3 linked regions of the Caenorhabditis elegans genome follow. The protein of the gene in region 1 purifies or fractionates together with the protein of each later gene. This does not show direct contact. Each region holds a gene or a part of one and is shown in the gene's direction. Other genes may lie near its edges.

Region 1 (5,905 bases):
ATCAAACTCGTCGATATCACAGATTTGAATACGAAGAAGAGTATTTTTGAATTCCCGCGGCGCCACTTTGCATGTGAAAAATTCATTGTAAATAGTTGTGGAAGCACGTACGACATTCAGCGTTTGATATGTGAACGGATCTTTTTCTTTGATATCCTGAACATTTGAAATTACAGAATTCTATCAAAAGTAATATTCACGTACTTGCCAAGTGATGGTTCTTGCCCATCCCATCACCGAAGTTTTTCTTGATATTCCTTTTACTAGATGCATAACAGCTCGTGATTCGGTTTTGTGAAGTGTTGGGGAAATTGGGTAGTTTGTAACCTAAAAAATATTTTCTTAATAAAAATTAGCTTTTTTACTATGAATAGAGTATTAGTGAAGTGTCCAAAATTTTTATTCGCACTTCTGGCAGGTTTTTATTCGCTTTTAAAGTAACTAAATTGAATAGTTCATATACCCTCATTTTTCAAGTTTTATATGTATGTAAATACATACATTTCGGATGTAGAAGTTAAATTCATTCTCAGCTTCCACATATTCAAATGCCACCGACAGACATGGCTGCACCCTCCTTGGTGTCGGAACCTGAAAATATAAGTTTTAGAAAACTAGTTATGAATGATGAATTTGAAAGATTGGAACTTTACAAATTTTCTACCACACCGTTCAATTCTTTATAATTTTAATTGTCAATTTGTTTTATTGAGGGGCCGTTAAATTTATTTTTATTAAATAAATTTATTTATTAGTTTTTCTAAATTACTCTCAATCTTATGAAAATATAATTTTTGAGAATTCAATATTCTCAATTAAGTATATTTCATATTATAAATCATACCTCCGCGTCGTCGCTGAGCCTTTCCATCCAATTGTACATCATATCGGCGAAGCGAGAGTATTCCCGGAAAGTGAACGATTCAGACAGTTAGACAAACCATTTTTTCCACGCATAACAATCGAATCGATGTGTGATTTGGGCAAAAACGGAAATAATATGAAAACGAGAGAGTAAAATCAGAGCGATGTGGGAGGATGAGCTAGTTAAGGGAATGTGAAACGGAGGAACAAAAGTTTTTGAAAGCAAAGAGAGAAAAGATTGGAGCAGTAGTATATGGACGTTGGCATTATGTCCTTCGGGAGGAAAGGCTCAGCAGTTGAGAGAAAAAAAGAAAGGAAGAAGGAGGATACTTGTGACGAATGACACCCTTTAATCGACGGTTCTTGAGAGGGTTTTGAACGAATGAATTGAAGTGGGAATTTTCGTGGCTTTATTTTGAGAAATGAGTGAAGAATGAGGCTTATATAGGTATGTGTGTACACATCAAATTCTCAAGGGAACTAATTATAGACCCAAATCTTGCTCACCCACAATAACAATTGAGATATATGTATGTCTATTTCAAAAAAAAAGTCGATATATGTATTTTCGGAGTAAGTTTGAACGATTATTTCGGATTCAACATATTTATTAACGAGTGCCTAACAGCTTTTAGATAACTCACTCAGACTCTGATGGTGCACTTGAAAACTGTTTTCATAGTTGAACTCAGTTCCCAAAATTTCATTTAAAAAAATGCGACGGTTATTTTTCAGAATTTGAACAAATGAAAATTTCTAATTGATGAGATATTTTCTGAAAATTCACTACAATGCAAATGCCATAAATCGCGCGAACAAATGTAATCGCATTCTAACTTCCAGTAAAATTGAAAATGTTATAATTTGTGTTAATTTTCGAGAGCAAGTAATCCACCTATAATTTTAAAAATAATATGAATTTGTGATATTTTTCGAAAGTAAGTAATAAATAAATGCCGGCAATGTACTCCTTGCATAATGCCTAGTTTTGGTATTGCACAGCCCCTCCCATCCTAACACATTCTGCATTGCTCCGCGGAACCCGCCAGATGTCATGCCTTACAACACCCTTACCCTCTCTTACCGCCACTTCATAAACTTACCTGGCTGGGGGTTATCTCGCGATCATGAAGGCGGGATCCCCATGGTGAGGCCTATCCATTGCACTTTTGGATGGGCTGACTCGCAGTCTCAGGGCAGTCTCGAGTTGAGATTCGCCAACAGCTTAATTTTTGCGTATCGGGGCTGCGTGCGCGCGGCCCTGAAAAAATCTAAATACTGTTCTTAAAAAAAGCCGGTATGATTAGCGAAATCGTGTTCAGTTAGGAAAAAGCATCGATACTCTGTTTCCAAAATCAACCCTGTAGTGAACTCCATATTAGTAATGGAATATGGGGTTTGCTTCAACTTTCTTTTTTGGAAATTCGACAGTCTACCAAAACTTTGATTGAGCGTTTTTAAAAGCAGTTAACAATTTTTCGCTCGTTTCATAATGAAATTTTGTCATTTCAGCTGATCATAAATGCATTTTAACAGGGACTCCTACGGCAACGACTTCGAGTTATAATCGCGATCAGATAGAAAACTGTTTGAACGTTCTGCTACTGAAATTGACGTACGTTTTACTTGAAACTGATTCGTTATGCCAATTACTATTGAAAACAGTATTAATATATTTTTCAGGGCCGCGCGCACGCAGCCCCGATACGCAAAAATTAAGCTGTTGGCGAATCTCAACTCGAGACTGCCACACAGGTCAGCCCATCCAAAAGTGCAATGGATAGGCCTCACCATGGGGATCCCGCCTTCATGATCGCGAGATAACCCCCAGCCAGGTAAGTTTAAGAAGTGGCGGTAAGAGAGGGTAAGGGTGTTGTATAGCATGACATCTGGCGGGTTCCGCGGAGCAATGCAGAATGTGTTAGGATGGGAGGGGCTGTGCAATACCCAAAAATAGGCATTATGCAAGAAGTACATTGCCGGCATTTACATATTTATTACTAACTTTCAAAAAATATCACAAATTCATATTATTTTTAAATTTTATTGAAACAGAATACTGGAATTTATAGTAATTACATGCATAGTTCAAAAAAATCATAAAATTACAATAATTATTCAGAAGTTTTTTGTTCAACGGGCGCTTGCTGAATTGGAATAGATCTTCCTTGAATCGCTTCCTTCTTTGGTGCTTCAATTGAAAGTTTTCCATCTTCTGAAAGATTTGAAGCAACTGCACCAACATCAACATCTTCGGGTAGAAGAATAACACGAGAAAATGATTTCTTTGAATATCCATGTTCAGTCTTTAATTCTTGTTCTCCTTGAATTGATAATGTATGTCCATCCAAATTAATTTTCAAATCTTCTGGCTTGAACTGCGAGACATTGAGATTTATGGCAAACTTTTGATCATTGTTAACAATCTGAAAGAAATCTTTTTTATACAAACTCTTGAAAAAAAAACGTGTTACTTACCTCAGAAGATTCAGATGGAGAGCCTCTGCAAACTGGAGTAAATTGACGTTCCATCTGAGCCATATCTCTCATGAGATCACCAAAAACAGAACGTTGAGCTGGACGGAAATAGTGGTAAAGTGACATGATTGTAGTTTGAAGATTTCACAATTAGAGTGAATGTTGTTTGGTTCGGTTTTGTCACTGTATTTATACTCATTTCCACCTTTTTCTAGAACATTCGAGCTGCTTCTTGCAAAAGGAGGGCGACTCACATTCAGAACATTGAGAAATAGTGTGCGTACTGAAGAAACCCAGATACTTTTTCAATCTGCGTCTCTTTGCACCTATGGGGTGTATTTTGAAATGAATGCATCTAGGACCTTCTAGAACATTCTAAACGGCTGCAGGATACGGGTATATAAGCCAATCGTGTTCAGAGGAAACCAATACACTTTGTTCAAGTGCTTACTGTTCATTCTCTAAACTTCAAGAATGCTCATGCTCCGTTCTCCATTTTCTGATTCAAATGTTCTCGATCATTTCTTGGATGAAATCACTGGATCTGTTCAATTTCCATATTGGAGAAATGCTGATCACAACTCATTCAATTTTTCCGACAATATTGGAGAGGTAAGAAAATAATCTCTTTTTCAATTGTTTATTTGTCAAATGTTTTATTTTTCAGATTGTAAATGACGAATCTAAATTCTCTGTTCAACTCGATGTTTCTCATTTCAAACCAGAAGATCTTAAAATTGAATTGGATGGAAGAGAACTAAAAATTGAAGGAATTCAAGAAAAAAAATCAGAGCATGGATACTCGAAACGATCATTTTCAAAAATGATTCTTCTACCAGAAGATGTTGATTTAACTTCTGTCAAATCTGCAATTTCGAATGAAGGAAAACTTCAAATTGAGGCTCCAAAGAAGACTAACTCATCTCGTTCTATTCCCATTAATTTTGTTGCAAAACATTAATCTTTTATTGTATTCCAAATATTCTTAATTTCAATAAAGTCATTAATTTAATTTATTCATGTTCTCTAGCATAACAAAAACATCAAATCCGACTTTCCAATTCAAATATTTCAAAACAACATAACGGCTCAACTTTACAGCATACTCATGCTACGTTTTACCAACCGTTAAACGTTTAGCTATAAAAATTCCTGCATCGTTTCAAACGACTTTTGCAACTTTTTCAAAATTCAGTTTTTCAGCTTAATTTCGCTCACAACTGTGTTGATCAACTGCACCTTTATAACAGCTTTTGACAGTTTTTAAGTGTTTTTATCAAGTCGCAGGAGTTTTCTGAGAAGCCGAGTAGCTGGTAGCTTAAAATATTTTCTGATTTTTCTCTTGAAGAACCTATTTTATGAGGGCCCTGTAGAAGTTGCACGCACTGTAATTTTTTTAAAACATTTTTTATGTTTTTTGTTTTAAGCATAAATTCAAGCTAAAACATTTATTGAGACTAATAAATTTTTTGCATAAAAAGTTTCTGGAATAACTTCAATTATGTTGTTTTGAAATATTTGAATTGGAAAGTCGGATTTGATGTTTTTGTTATGCTAGAGAACATGAATAAATTAAATTAATGACTTTATTGAAATTAAGAATATTTGGAATACAATAAAAGATTAATGTTTTGCAACAAAATTAATGGGAATAGAACGAGATGAGTTAGTCTTCTTTGGAGCCTCAATTTGAAGTTTTCCTTCATTCGAAATTGCAGATTTGACAGAAGTTAAATCAACATCTTCTGGTAGAAGAATCATTTTTGAAAATGATCGTTTCGAGTATCCATGCTCTGATTTTTTTTCTTGAATTCCTTCAATTTTTAGTTCTCTTCCATCCAATTCAATTTTAAGATCTTCTGGTTTGAAATGAGAAACATCGAGTTGAACAGAGAATTTAGATTCGTCATTTACAATCTGAAAAATAAAACATTTGACAAATAAACAATTGAAAAAGAGATTATTTTCTTACCTCTCCAATATTGTCGGAAAAATTGAATGAGTTGTGATCAGCATTTCTCCAATATGGAAATTGAACAGATCCAGTGATTTCATCCAAGAAATGATCGAGAACATTTGAATCAGAAAATGGAGAACGGAGCATGAGCATTCTTGAAGTTTAGAGAATGAACAGTAAGCACTTGAACAAAGTGTATTGGTTTCCTCTGAACACGATTGGCTTATATACCCGTATCCTGCAGCCGTTTAGAATGTTCTAGAAGGTCCTAGATGCATTCATTTCAAAATACACCCCATAGGTGCAAAGAGACGCAGATTGAAAAAGTATCTGGGTTTCTTCAGTACGCACACTATTTCTCAATGTTCTGAATGTGAGTCGCCCTCCTTTTGCAAGAAGCAGCTCGAATGTTCTAGAAAAAGGTGGAAATGAGTATAAATACAGTGACAAAACCGAACCAAACAACATTCACTCTAATTGTGAAATCTTCAAACTACAATCATGTCACTTTACCACTATTTCCGTCCAGCTCAACGTTCTGTTTTTGGTGATCTCATGAGAGATATGGCTCAGATGGAACGTCAATTTACTCCAGTTTGCAGAGGC
Region 2 (6,059 bases), on another chromosome or scaffold:
TTACCGATACGGTTTTCCCGTTCCATCGGCCACGAGGTACACTCCAAATTCTCCCTTTGGAGCCTCAATCGGTACATATGTAGCTCCAGGCGGTACTTGGAATCCTTCAGTGAAAAATTTAAAGTGATGAATAAGCGATTCCATGTTCTCTTTCATTTCAGCTCGTTTCGGTGGCACCACTTTGTGATCGTCGGATTTAATTTCTCCAGTTGGCATTTTGTTGAGGCATTGATGAACAATGTTCAACGATTGTCTCATTTCTTCTACGCGACACAAATAACTGAAAAATGAGATAATGATTGAATGTTTCCTCTCTATTTTTTACCGATCATAGCAATCTCCCTTTGTTCCGATTGGTACATCGAATTCCATATCGGCATAGGCATCATATGGTTCGGTTTTTCGAACATCTTGCTTAATTCCACTTCCACGAACCATCACACCACTGAATCCCCAATTAAGAGCATCGGATGCGGAGACAAGGCCTAAAATAATGAAAATTAGAAGATATTGGATTTCATTATGCTCTCAATGATGTCACACTTACCAATATCAACTGTTCTAGCTTTCCAGATTCGATTTTCTGTAAGCATATCCTCCAGTTCATCGATACGAGCGGGAAACTTCACAGCCCAATCATAAATATCATCCATTAATCCAACAGGAAGATCCCATGCGACTCCGCCTGGACGAACATAGTTTGCGTGCATTCTTGCACCTGAAACTCGTTCTGAGAATTCGAATAATTTTTCGCGTTCTTCGAACATCCAGAAGAATGGGGTCATAGCTCCAACGTCGAGGGCGTGTGTGGTGATTCCCATAATATGATTTTGAATTCGAGTGAGTTCGCCGAAAAGAACTGAAAATATGTTTTAAAATGTTAAATTGCGATACTCGATTCATATAGCTCACTTCTGATATACTTCGCTCTTGGTGGAACGTCAATCCCCAACAATTTTTCAATTGCCAGAGAGAAAGCTTGTTCGTTGCACATCATGGATACGTAGTCAAGGCGATCGAAATACGGGAGTGCCTACAATTTTATTCGAATTCGAATTGAAATTTGTTTCGACTCAACCTGTGTGTAGGTCTTGTGCTCAATGAGCTTTTCTGTAGCGCGATGTAGCAGACCAATATGTGGAATAGCTTTAATGATGACTTCTCCTTCCAGCTTGAGAACAAGACGAAGAACTCCGTGAGCCGCAGGGTGCTGTGGTCCAAAGTTGAGAATCATGTTTTCCAGATTCTTCTCTCTGAAATAGAATTTAAAAATCGCAAAAAAAACGTTGCAGCAACCTCTTCTTTCCCTCATAATTGTCGCTGAGCACCGGATCGCTGTATGCAAGTTTCTCCAATTTGTCAAGTCCGATTTGATCGTCGAAATCGGATACGCGTTCTGACATCCAAAGTTTCCCAAGAGTTCCGCCAGTCTGAAATCGTGAAAATGCATTAAAGTATATGCAAACAGTAATACCTTGAATTGACGTTCGAATTTAGCGTCAGGATACCAAATTGTGTGAGAATCACGATTAGAAATAGCTGGCCTGGCGCATGCTACCGCTCGAAGAGGATGCAATGATCGCGAAAGCATCTCTGAACAAATTTACAGTAATAATTTACAGTTAAACTTGAAAATTCAAGGAGAAAACGTGTAAAACAAATATTGCTAATTTCAAATACTACCGTAGTCGCTTTCAATCGTTGCGGGACCCTACTCGAGACTTGCTCCTTGCGCCTTTAGGCTATTCAAAGATTAAGGTAGCGCTTAGCAAAATGTTTAACTTTCGAAAAATTCCGAATTTTTCAAAATAAGAGTATTCGTAAAAAAATTTCCTACTTGAATCTTTGGGCTTTTTAATCTTTCTCAAACGCCCTTTATTTTCCCAAAAAAACACACTTTCTCTAAAAAGAAATAACTAAATTCCAGAATTTATAAGCAATTATTCATAGAATTTGCAAAGATAGTGTTTCCAGTGCTTTTTCGAGCGATAACAACATTTTGCTAGTAGAGATTGTGGAATTTTTGTTGACGATAGTTGATTAAAAGTAGATTAAAAGTGTTAAAAATAGATTTAAAGTGTTCATCATATATTTTTAAGCTCTTGGTTTTTTCCAAGAGCTTTGCTATGTTTCAAATTGATCTTCTATGCATCTATTACTTTTATATTCACCCTCTTCCTTTTTCCGGTCTATTGTATTCAGGAGTTAGAGTCTATAAACACATTCATGCTCGTCTCACACAACAACCTCGCAGTTTCTTCCAACGCCCTTCACTTTTTCTTTTTTTTCTCCTTCTTCTCGCTCCCACCAACACCCCAAAACATTTTGAAATACGCGGGCACGCGCCTGTTTGCATTTGAGTGCGCGCGCATTGCCCCGACGACAGCCGAGTCGCACACTCCAACACAGCCGGGTCGCGTGCGACGCGGCTGTGCAGCGTGCGACGCGCCCCGCCTATCTCGCTCTCGGCTTCGCTCAGCCATCTTCTCTTTCGTCTCCCAATGCCACCCATTCCTCCACTCTTTGAAACTGTTATCTTTTGGCTCACTTCATTCTCCTCCACTTTCGATATCTTTTCTCTGTTGTCTTACGAATGCTGCTGCTGATAAATGCGTACAATCTGATGTGTACTCTTATCGAAAAAGTAGCCTGTTTGTTGACATGAAATATCTTTTGAAAAAAGTTCCCGATGACACATAACTGGGGAACTCTTCTTCTTTCATCTATTTCATTATTTCTAAACTGTTCAGATTTAAACAATTCACGTCAAAAGTTTTTCATGTTGCGGGCGCAAATACTCTGTACTCAAGTGCCTCCGAGCTTTGCAAATTATATTTTTAATACTCTGAAGAGCCTTATTCGTACTAACATACTCCTGTTTCGTGTCATAAATTGGGTCGCTCAAATAATTACCTTGCCGTTCTTCCATTATCCTTATCTATCTCTTTGACCTCCGCATTCCGCATTCACAACCGTTATTATAACTACTACCGAGTACCCGGTGTTCAATTAATTTAATTTTGTATTTTTTGCAGCCAAATCCGTTCAAAATGGTTGACCGCAAGGCTGTGATCAAGAATGCCGACATGTCCGATGACATGCAACAGGACGCCATCGACTGCGCCACCCAGGCCCTCGAGAAGTGAGTTATGAGCTTTCTCATTGCATTTTAAACGCTTGAATAATTCGATTGCCATGAACAACACTTGGTCGCTTAGTAGAGAAAAAGTGTAAAGAAATGTCGTTTAGCTGTTTGGAACGGCTCATCGGTCCCTTGATTTAAACTAAAGTGGACGGCAGCCCGAGTCTAGGGGAGGGGGCGAGCAGGAGCGACCAGCTGATCGAACAAATCTGATCCTTGTGCAAGAAAAAAGCGAAGCGATGAAAGTCTAAAAAATAAAATCAAAACATTTTTTTTTCAGATACAACATCGAGAAGGATATTGCCGCTTACATCAAGAAGGAGTTCGACAAGAAATACAACCCAACCTGGCATTGCATCGTCGGAAGAAACTTTGGAAGCTACGTGACCCACGAGACTAAGCACTTTATCTACTTCTACCTTGGACAGGTCGCCATCCTGCTATTCAAGTCTGGATAAATCCCATCCTGTTCTTAAAAAACATTCAATGATCTTTAAATTGTGACCTGATCCTACGTGTACCTTAGGTGGCGTAGGATCTTCAGTGTGCACTCTTGTTAAATCTTCCTTTTCCTCCCAAAAAACATTTTCCTTCGTCGCATTCTATTTATTTAGCTCAAACTGTTCATTTTCTTTGAATCTTCCTCCATCACCCATAAATCTTCTTACGTTGTCCGTTTTTGAGAGAAAAGAGAACTCATAATATTTTTGTTCTCGAAAAGTGCTCGCACTAAAAGTAAAAATAAAAGGATAGCTTTAAATCCCTTAATTATCTGTGCTTCATTTTTATACTCGAAACTGAACAAGGCAATAATTTAAGATAGAAATGTCATCAAACGATGTGGATCAAAACGATGATCGAATTGCTCAAATGATGATGCCAGCAGCAATTGTGACTCGGCTCATGAAAGAAGACAATATTTCTGCATCAAAAGATGCTCGAGACGTCATCGCTCGTGCTGCAGCAGTGTTTCTCATAAACTTGTCCGACGTTTCGGCTCAATCTGCTCGCGATCAGAAGCACAAGACGATCTCAGGAGATGATGTTGTCAAAGGACTCCGAGAGCTTGAGAATACTTCTATTCACAATCATGTAATTATGGGTTTCGAAAGAGTTAAGAAATTAAAATTTCCAGTGCAAGTCCGCCAACGATAAATGGAAAGTTATTAGTCAGCAGAAGGCTCTCGCTCGTAAAAATCCAGTTGAATCCAGCTCTGTCAATGCTGAAATGGATGACGACATTATTGACGATACTCCTGTCGATGGTTAGTTCTATTCTTTAAATCTGAAGTTTATCTGAATAATTTATAATATTGCAGATTCATTGATGAACTGATCACTCATAACCAACTCATTCCTGCTCAAAACGATCCTTCCTGTAAAATCTCATTCCGATTCTCAACGCGTGTCCCACTTTTGTCTCTAACATTTCACTTTGATAAACAATTTTGGCCAATAGTTTATTGAATGTACAAAACCCCGAAAAAAAATTAAAGCGATCTGAATGCCCCCGAAAAAGTGCCCATAAATAAGTGAATCGGCATGATCAATAAAATAGCGAAAAATGAGAATTGAATAATTGCACGAAGTTTGGCGAATCCATTGTCTGGAACTCGAAAGTCTGCACCAGAGGTAGCTGATCTCTTCCACATCACTTCCCAAGAATCGAATTTTTGCTCCTGTGTATTCTTCTTGAGCCGTATCAATTCATTGCAATTATTTGGGAATCCACGAGAAAGTTCAATAATTTGACGACTCAACTGCTCAGAATCATCGAAAAGATATCCATTAGTTTTCTCCTCAACGAGCTCATCAATACATTTGAATTTTAGAGCCAATGCTGGAACTTTAGCTCCAAACATATCAACAACTTTCATCGGAAGATCCAATCCAGACGTGCTTGTGTGCAAAGAGATTCCTAAGTCAGCAGAGGCTAGAATCTTTGGATAATCTTCTGCTTCCAACCATGGAGTCAATACATCGACATTCTTCAGATTTTTCTCGTGAATTTCTTGTAAATATTTCGCTTTCAGTGGACCTTTTCCAGTGATAATCATCAAAACTCGCGGGAGTCCGATTGTTTTGTCATATGCAACCAGCGCATCGAGAAGAATTTCAAACCGTTCATCAGGTGTCCAGGATGTGGAAGAGAGAAACACAATGGGTCGAGTTGTTAGTAGCTGCACTACTCCGTTCGAAGATTTATGAGTCAGAATTGTGGAGTCTTCGTCTTTTCCTTGTAGAATTCGTTCCTTTTGTGAAAGTCTTAGATACAAATCATGGATCTCTTGTATTGTTGTGTCTCTGAAAATTTCGAGATTAATTTTCAGAAATTTCACATTTGTTCAAACCTAAATTTCCACGTCGGCGGCCTATCATAGAATGTGCTGGCTCTGATGCCCCATCGATCCATGAGATCTCGACGCATGGCATTTGTTACACACAGATTATAATCGGATAGTTTTCCACATAGACCTTCTAGGAATCCAACACATCTCACAATTCTGAAAATGTAAATTGTTCAATACGAGTTTGATTTATTGTACAGACGCGAATGTTTTGGCTAAAATACGTTGCCCGGTCTCGGCACGACAAGTTTTCGTTAAATATGAAAGGTTATGCGCCTTTGAAGAGTACTATAGTTTCAAATTCGTTGCTGCAACAGTTTGATGTGATTTTTCCAGTTTTCGTAAAAAATATTTTTCATGGGATAAATTACAGTACTCTTTAAAGGCGTATGTCATTCTTCGTTTCACAAAGATTTGTCGTGTGGAGACCGAGTACCGACTGTTTTTTTTCGCGTCGGGGAACAATGCCGGTGTCCAATACTCACTGGGCTTTTTTGGTTTTTTTATCGTTTCCAAAAACTTGATCATCGGTCAATTGGTATTTATTTTGTAGAATTGAATACATGTAA
Region 3 (5,537 bases), on another chromosome or scaffold:
AAATTATGTTCAACCACATAAACTTCCTACCGGATTGCACCGACTTTCTTAATATTTCCAAACCCACGCACATTTTCTATCTCTCCATGACCTGCTCTTGCTCACACATTTCCCCTAAATGCTTCAATTATGCTTCAGGCTTCTGCAGTTATTTTTTCAACTTTCTGAAAATCCCACAAACGGGTTCTGTTCACCTTCTGAATGCCTTTTCTCCATTTGTTTTTCAATCTTCTAAAATGTTATATGGTGCTGAAATTTAAAAATTAAAAATTATAATAAATGAATTTACTATCAATTATTAGGCCATTGTCATAAATAATAAACCGTGTCTATAAGGCACATGAGAACAAAATATACAGATCTAAATTATACTAATCTTATAATATTAGAAAAAGTCTCCAGCATTTGCTCTATCTGCAGCTCCGGCTGATGTTGAAGGTCCGACGTTATCCCCTTTTCTTCGGATCATAGATTCAATCCCAGGTGTGCCAGGAGTTTGTGCTCCTTGGCTCCAAGATGATCCAGGTGTAGTAGAACCACGACTCCATGCAGAACCAGGAGTTGTGGATCGCTTTGAACTTGACGGTCTTGACCAATTCGACATGATTTTCGGCGAGGCGAAAGGAGATTTGTGAGCAGGTAACATTTTTAATCCAAGCTTCTTGGTTGCCAACTTTTGAGCAGCAGGAGATAATTGTGCAAGCTTGTCTGAGACTCGCTTGGATCCAAATCCAGGTGTTCGGCTGAAACTTTACCAAGTTGAAAATTATTTGAAGTACTATTATCTCGTTATAGATTTTAATACCATAGAGAAATATATTTTATAACTTGAAAAAATAAACAATTTTTAATTGAAAAATGAAAACTCACTGAGCTCCTTCAGCTGCTCTCATCGCAACTTTTCTCTTGTCTCTATATTTGGCCGCGATTGAATCATTCATAGATTGTGCAATTTTCTCCCGATACGGAACCTCTGGTATCTTGAATACAGGCGCCGCACCAGGCAACGAATGCTCTGTAACGTCAGGCGCATCAAGTCGGAATGGTGTTCCATCAATTTCTCCCCAAGTCATAAGAGGAGAATCCATGTCGTCAGGATTTGGATTCGGTGTTTCGAGTAATTTGAATGAGTTGGCTGGAGTTACTTCATTTCCCAAAAAATCAACTTTTCCGGCATTCGCGAGAGCATGGCTCACTGCTGCTCGAGTCATAGCTTCGTCGCTAGGCTTCAATTTTCCGGAGTCTGGAAACCTAGTGCCACGTTTATTTATTTCAGTTTGCTGTTTTCTAGCTGCATCTGCAATCTCTGCAGGTGTCAGAGCTGCCCCATCCGGATTGAAGAGTACAGTGTTCCATGCTTTGTATGCCCAATTGTCTACATTCAGAGGTCTATTGTCATCAGCATCTACAGCATGTTTTAAAGCCAACTGCACGTCAGCTTCAGCAGCAATTGCTTGTCGAGTCACCTGAAATTAGATTAAGTTACGAATTCGACGATATCAGATTTTATTCGTGAAAGAATATCTTACAAGGTTTTTGTTATGCTCTTCCTCGGCTTTATAAACCCAAGGACGACGTGCATCTTCTCGTTCCCTCATAACTTTCGCCAATTCCTCGAAGGAAGCATTGTCTTCTGATGTGTATTTGTTGAGATATGACGTTAAAGTCTCTTCTTTCTTCTTTTTTCGTTTCCGATTTAACGCCTGAAACTCTGCGAAAGATAGTAATGGATTGAAAATCATAAATCTAACCTCATTATCTCCTTCCTCATTAGCAAAAGGCATTGGAGATTGCATCCAATCATGTGCACTCGAAGTTGAAGCAGATGAAGGGCCCGGTGTATCTGCATCGAAAGATGAAACATCAGGAGCCTCAGTTGTCGAACGAGTTGTTATTGGGGTTCTGAAGCTTCTATCGGTCCGCACACTTCCAGTACTGCAGAACTTCATTTGAAGTTCTTTTATTTTATTAATGTCCTTATTTGCAACAGCCTCCAAATACTCTTTCTGTGCCTGAAAATAGAACTCATTAAAACAGTAAATATTTATAAATAATGATTATTTTACCTGCATTTTCTTGAGATGTGGAAAATAATCTTTTTCTATAATTTTATCAAGTCCAGCAATGTACTTCTCCTCGGGAACAACTTGGCGCTCAATTTTCTTAGTAACTAGGGTTTTCTGTGACAATTTCACTACTTTTCCCTCGTTTATTGATTTTGGCACCATCAGCTGAGCTCGCTCGTCATTTTTGTCGAACGACGACATTTTTCGAGTTCTGAAAATTTACAAAATAAAATTAAAAGCACTATTTTAAAAAGAAAAAACCACGAAAATTAGAAAAATAAAAGAAATTGCGAAATTTTATAAAAAATCGGAGTTTCGTAGTGCAAGTTGTTTAGCGCTCTCGTACGTAGTCCTCGTGGACAATAAACTTACTGTTAGAATTTGTTTTCTTTCAAAGATTATTTGATTAAATACATAACACTTCTTGTCCGTAAATTAATATATTTGATTTCTGGTTAATTTATCTTCAAAAACATTAATTGCTTTCAGAAAAGGTGATAATCTCGAAATGGCTTCAACAAAAGATGAAGTTGTGAGAATGAGCGTCGATGAGTACTGGGAAGATATTAAAGACGATTATCTTATACAACTAGCTAACACGGACCCTAATGAAGTCTATCCAAGCAATAACCCCGGACCAACAACTGCTGATGGCCAAATCAATTTTGAATGTCACTGTGTCGGTCATCTTGTTGGAAGCCCTTGTGGATTCGAGTTTCGGGAAGCGATTACGTGCCAAAAGACCAATAGTGATGGTGAAATAGAGCAGGTAACAATTATTTAGCTCTAGAGTTCTCGAAAATAAATAAATAATATGTATTGTAGGGAGCTTGCGGTAAGGAGTTGATGTCGTTCATGGAGTGTGTCACACGAACACAGTGTTTCGGTACCGGTGACAATGATAAAAAGTGATGATTCAATTATAATTTGTTCATTTTGTTAATTTATAAATAATTATTGTTTAAATACTGTTTTGTAATAATTATACTGTATTTTGTGCATTACAAAGAGTATTGCGAAACGTTTATTTGCTCTCTTTTCTTTTCATCTGTATATCTTCGAACACTCCTTCATTTTTTGGTTTTCTTTTCGCTGTTCGGATGTTCCTTTGGCCGGCTTGAAGTACTTTTCATATCTATTCTCCTTTTCCACTTGAAGTTTTAGTTGCTGTGGAAGATTCGATTCGGCCATCAGTTGTCAGGCTTAAATATGGTAAAAACGTTGCAGATCATTAATCGGCGGGAAGCGGGAATTTTGCATATTGTAGGAGAAGAAAGTATAGACCCGGTTTTACGGTAAAGTTCTTCTTCGCTTTAACAAATTGCTTCACTTGTCATACTTACGCTATTTTTGTAGGGCGCCAATGAAAGAATTTAGCGTTTCGAGTTCATCTATCAATTTGTATTTAAATTCTTGTGATTTTTGAGTGAGCATTGTAAGAAAAAATGATACTCAAATTCTCCGATTGGGTCAGATCAAATGATTTTCAATGTATTATAAATATTTTTTCAAGATCTCAATAGACGCCTTTTGATAACATATCCTAATCTAAATATTCTAATACCATATATCAAACAAAAATATCATGTTGACAGGCTGGATAGAGAGATTTTATACAATTTAAGAGATTCAGAGAAACGGGTGTCGGTTGAAGTGTAGGCTTTTCCCCTTAGTGTTTGCGCGCCCCCCTTCGCAAGCAGTTAGAGACGGTAGAAAAAGGGAAAAACCGAGAAGCTACTTGAAAATGTCTCGTGTTGAGAAAGGAAAAGATCGAGTCAAGAGAAGCAAAACTGGGGAGATATCAGCTAAATATACTCCCAGAACACCACTTGATATGAAAGTAGTAGTTTCTCTGTGAATTATGAGTGATTTCTGTGTTTTCCAGTGTTTTTTCGGCAGGTACAAGTCCAAACAGCATATTACGATGTTTAAAAAATATATTTTGCCTCAAATCGTACTCACCGGTTAAAGAGACATGACACGATTTTCCTTCATGGGTCTCGCCGCGAAATAAGTAAAGTAGAATGTTCCTTTAAACTTCGGGTACGGTTTTGAGGCAATATCGATTTTTTCTTCTTTTTTTGTTTGATGCTAAATAGAATAGGTTTTTCGCACCTTGAAACTGCAATTTCATGTTTAAATGTGTTTATTAGTTTTTTATAAATTTCCTATCACCCTACAAGAACAAAATTCATGAGCGCATTGAGAGAATTCTGAAATTTTTCAAAGATAAGATTTTTAGTCAAGCTCTCTTACATGCTCCTCTATACACTGATCAGTTAAAGTACTTTATCTGGTTTTTGTAGCGAGACCTGTCAACAGTGATAATTTAACTACCTCTCCTAACCCCCTCGAGATATGCGCACCCGCCTATTTCCCTCACTATACCCAGGTCGTTTACGTCCTCTTATCCGTCTGCGTTTCTTCTTCTCCACGCTCTCTATTCCCTCTTCTTCAATTATTTTTTGCAACCAGTTTTGCATCGTTCCACTAAATGGTACAAAAATTATTTTTCATATTTTTTGCCGTTTAGTTCTTCTTCTTTTCATAATTATCTTATCACCTTCAGAGACACGATGTATTTATGTATTTTGGGACTATCTTTGGTTCAGGGTGGGTTTTTTAACGCGCCAAAGTTGACAAAAGAGCTTGTTTTGGGAATATTGGCACACATCTTGGGAGAAATAAGACGCAGAAAGATCATGAATCGTATTCTTCTATTTCCACAGTGAGCTCCGTTTTTAGACAATTTCAGTGTGTGAGTAGTTTTCAAGGTTTCAATTTTTTTAAAATCTAACGTTAGAAAATGAAAAATAAAACAACTTCTGAATACTACATTGTTCAAGGAAATCTAGAATTCGAAGCAAATCTGTCCATTGTTTCCAAGACACACAAAAAAATCGGTTCATAATCCTTTCCATCGCCCCTTCTGATCATCCTTATTTAGGATTGGTTTACCTCAACCACCATGCCAATTTCATCGCATCGCAGTGTTCCTAGTCATTTTCGATGTGGTAGTTTCGTTTTGATCGGTCCAATTTAGTCTCTTATTTTCCTACTTACCAGTCACAATACTACCGACATCCCCATCGTCGCCACAATCGGTTACATAATAATTATCGTTCGCAATCGGGCGCCACTGCCGCCACACATTCACTCACAGACAGTATACTGTTGGGCACTGATGCTTGTTAGTGTGGTACACGACGACGACAACCATAGATAATTCGCTCATTCATCAGAATCTGAGGACGAGATGAGGGCCACGATGATGATGACAAGCGTGTCAAGGTGAACTCGCGTAGTCTTTCCGTCCGTGTTTGCCTCGTTTTCGCGCGCGCACCCCTTCTTCACTGGCGCACCTGGCTTGTGTCCTTTTCATCGAATCGCTGTCCTCTAGATGTCGTTAGTCTCGTTCCTTATTTCATTTAACGTTCAAGGTTCCTAATATTCTCCATAATTTGTAATTCG

Evidence for each region.
Region 2: the proteins of hsp-16.49 (region 1) and pole-3 fractionate together in Caenorhabditis elegans (co-fractionation; one large-scale study listed by BioGRID). This does not show direct contact.
Region 3: the proteins of hsp-16.49 (region 1) and F42H10.2 fractionate together in Caenorhabditis elegans (co-fractionation; one large-scale study listed by BioGRID). This does not show direct contact.

What each region holds. Positions count from the first base shown.
Region 1 is NC_003283.11:9,087,678-9,093,582, reverse strand, and holds hsp-16.49 (Heat shock protein Hsp-16.48/Hsp-16.49), read left to right. Parts: upstream 1-3,816; coding exon 3,817-3,954; intron 3,955-4,009; coding exon 4,010-4,303; downstream 4,304-5,905. Other genes in the region: T27E4.1 (C2 domain-containing protein), read right to left, coding at 1-156, 205-327, 502-591, 845-886; hsp-16.11 (Heat shock protein Hsp-16.1/Hsp-16.11), read right to left, coding at 2,979-3,290, 3,343-3,468; hsp-16.48 (Heat shock protein Hsp-16.48/Hsp-16.49), read right to left, coding at 4,966-5,259, 5,315-5,452; hsp-16.1 (Heat shock protein Hsp-16.1/Hsp-16.11), read left to right, coding at 5,801-5,905.
Region 2 is NC_003281.10:6,460,756-6,466,814, reverse strand, and holds pole-3 (DNA polymerase epsilon subunit 3), read left to right. Parts: upstream 1-3,958; 5' UTR 3,959-3,967; coding exon 3,968-4,234; intron 4,235-4,277; coding exon 4,278-4,407; intron 4,408-4,461; coding exon 4,462-4,478; 3' UTR 4,479-4,599; downstream 4,600-6,059. Other genes in the region: nduf-2.2 (Complex I-49kD), read right to left, coding at 5-280, 326-485, 548-859, 913-1,033, 1,079-1,253, 1,297-1,430, 1,475-1,591; dlc-1 (Dynein light chain 1, cytoplasmic), read left to right, coding at 3,051-3,142, 3,423-3,600; algn-1 (Chitobiosyldiphosphodolichol beta-mannosyltransferase), read right to left, coding at 4,633-5,446, 5,494-5,646, 5,976-6,059.
Region 3 is NC_003281.10:8,488,071-8,493,607, forward strand, and holds F42H10.2 (coiled-coil-helix-coiled-coil-helix domain-containing protein), read left to right. Parts: upstream 1-2,549; 5' UTR 2,550-2,574; coding exon 2,575-2,835; intron 2,836-2,891; coding exon 2,892-2,978; 3' UTR 2,979-3,034; downstream 3,035-5,537. Other genes in the region: LIM and SH3 domain protein F42H10.3, read left to right, coding at 1-52; Splicing factor ESS-2, read right to left, coding at 386-749, 871-1,466, 1,530-1,703, 1,752-2,012, 2,067-2,267.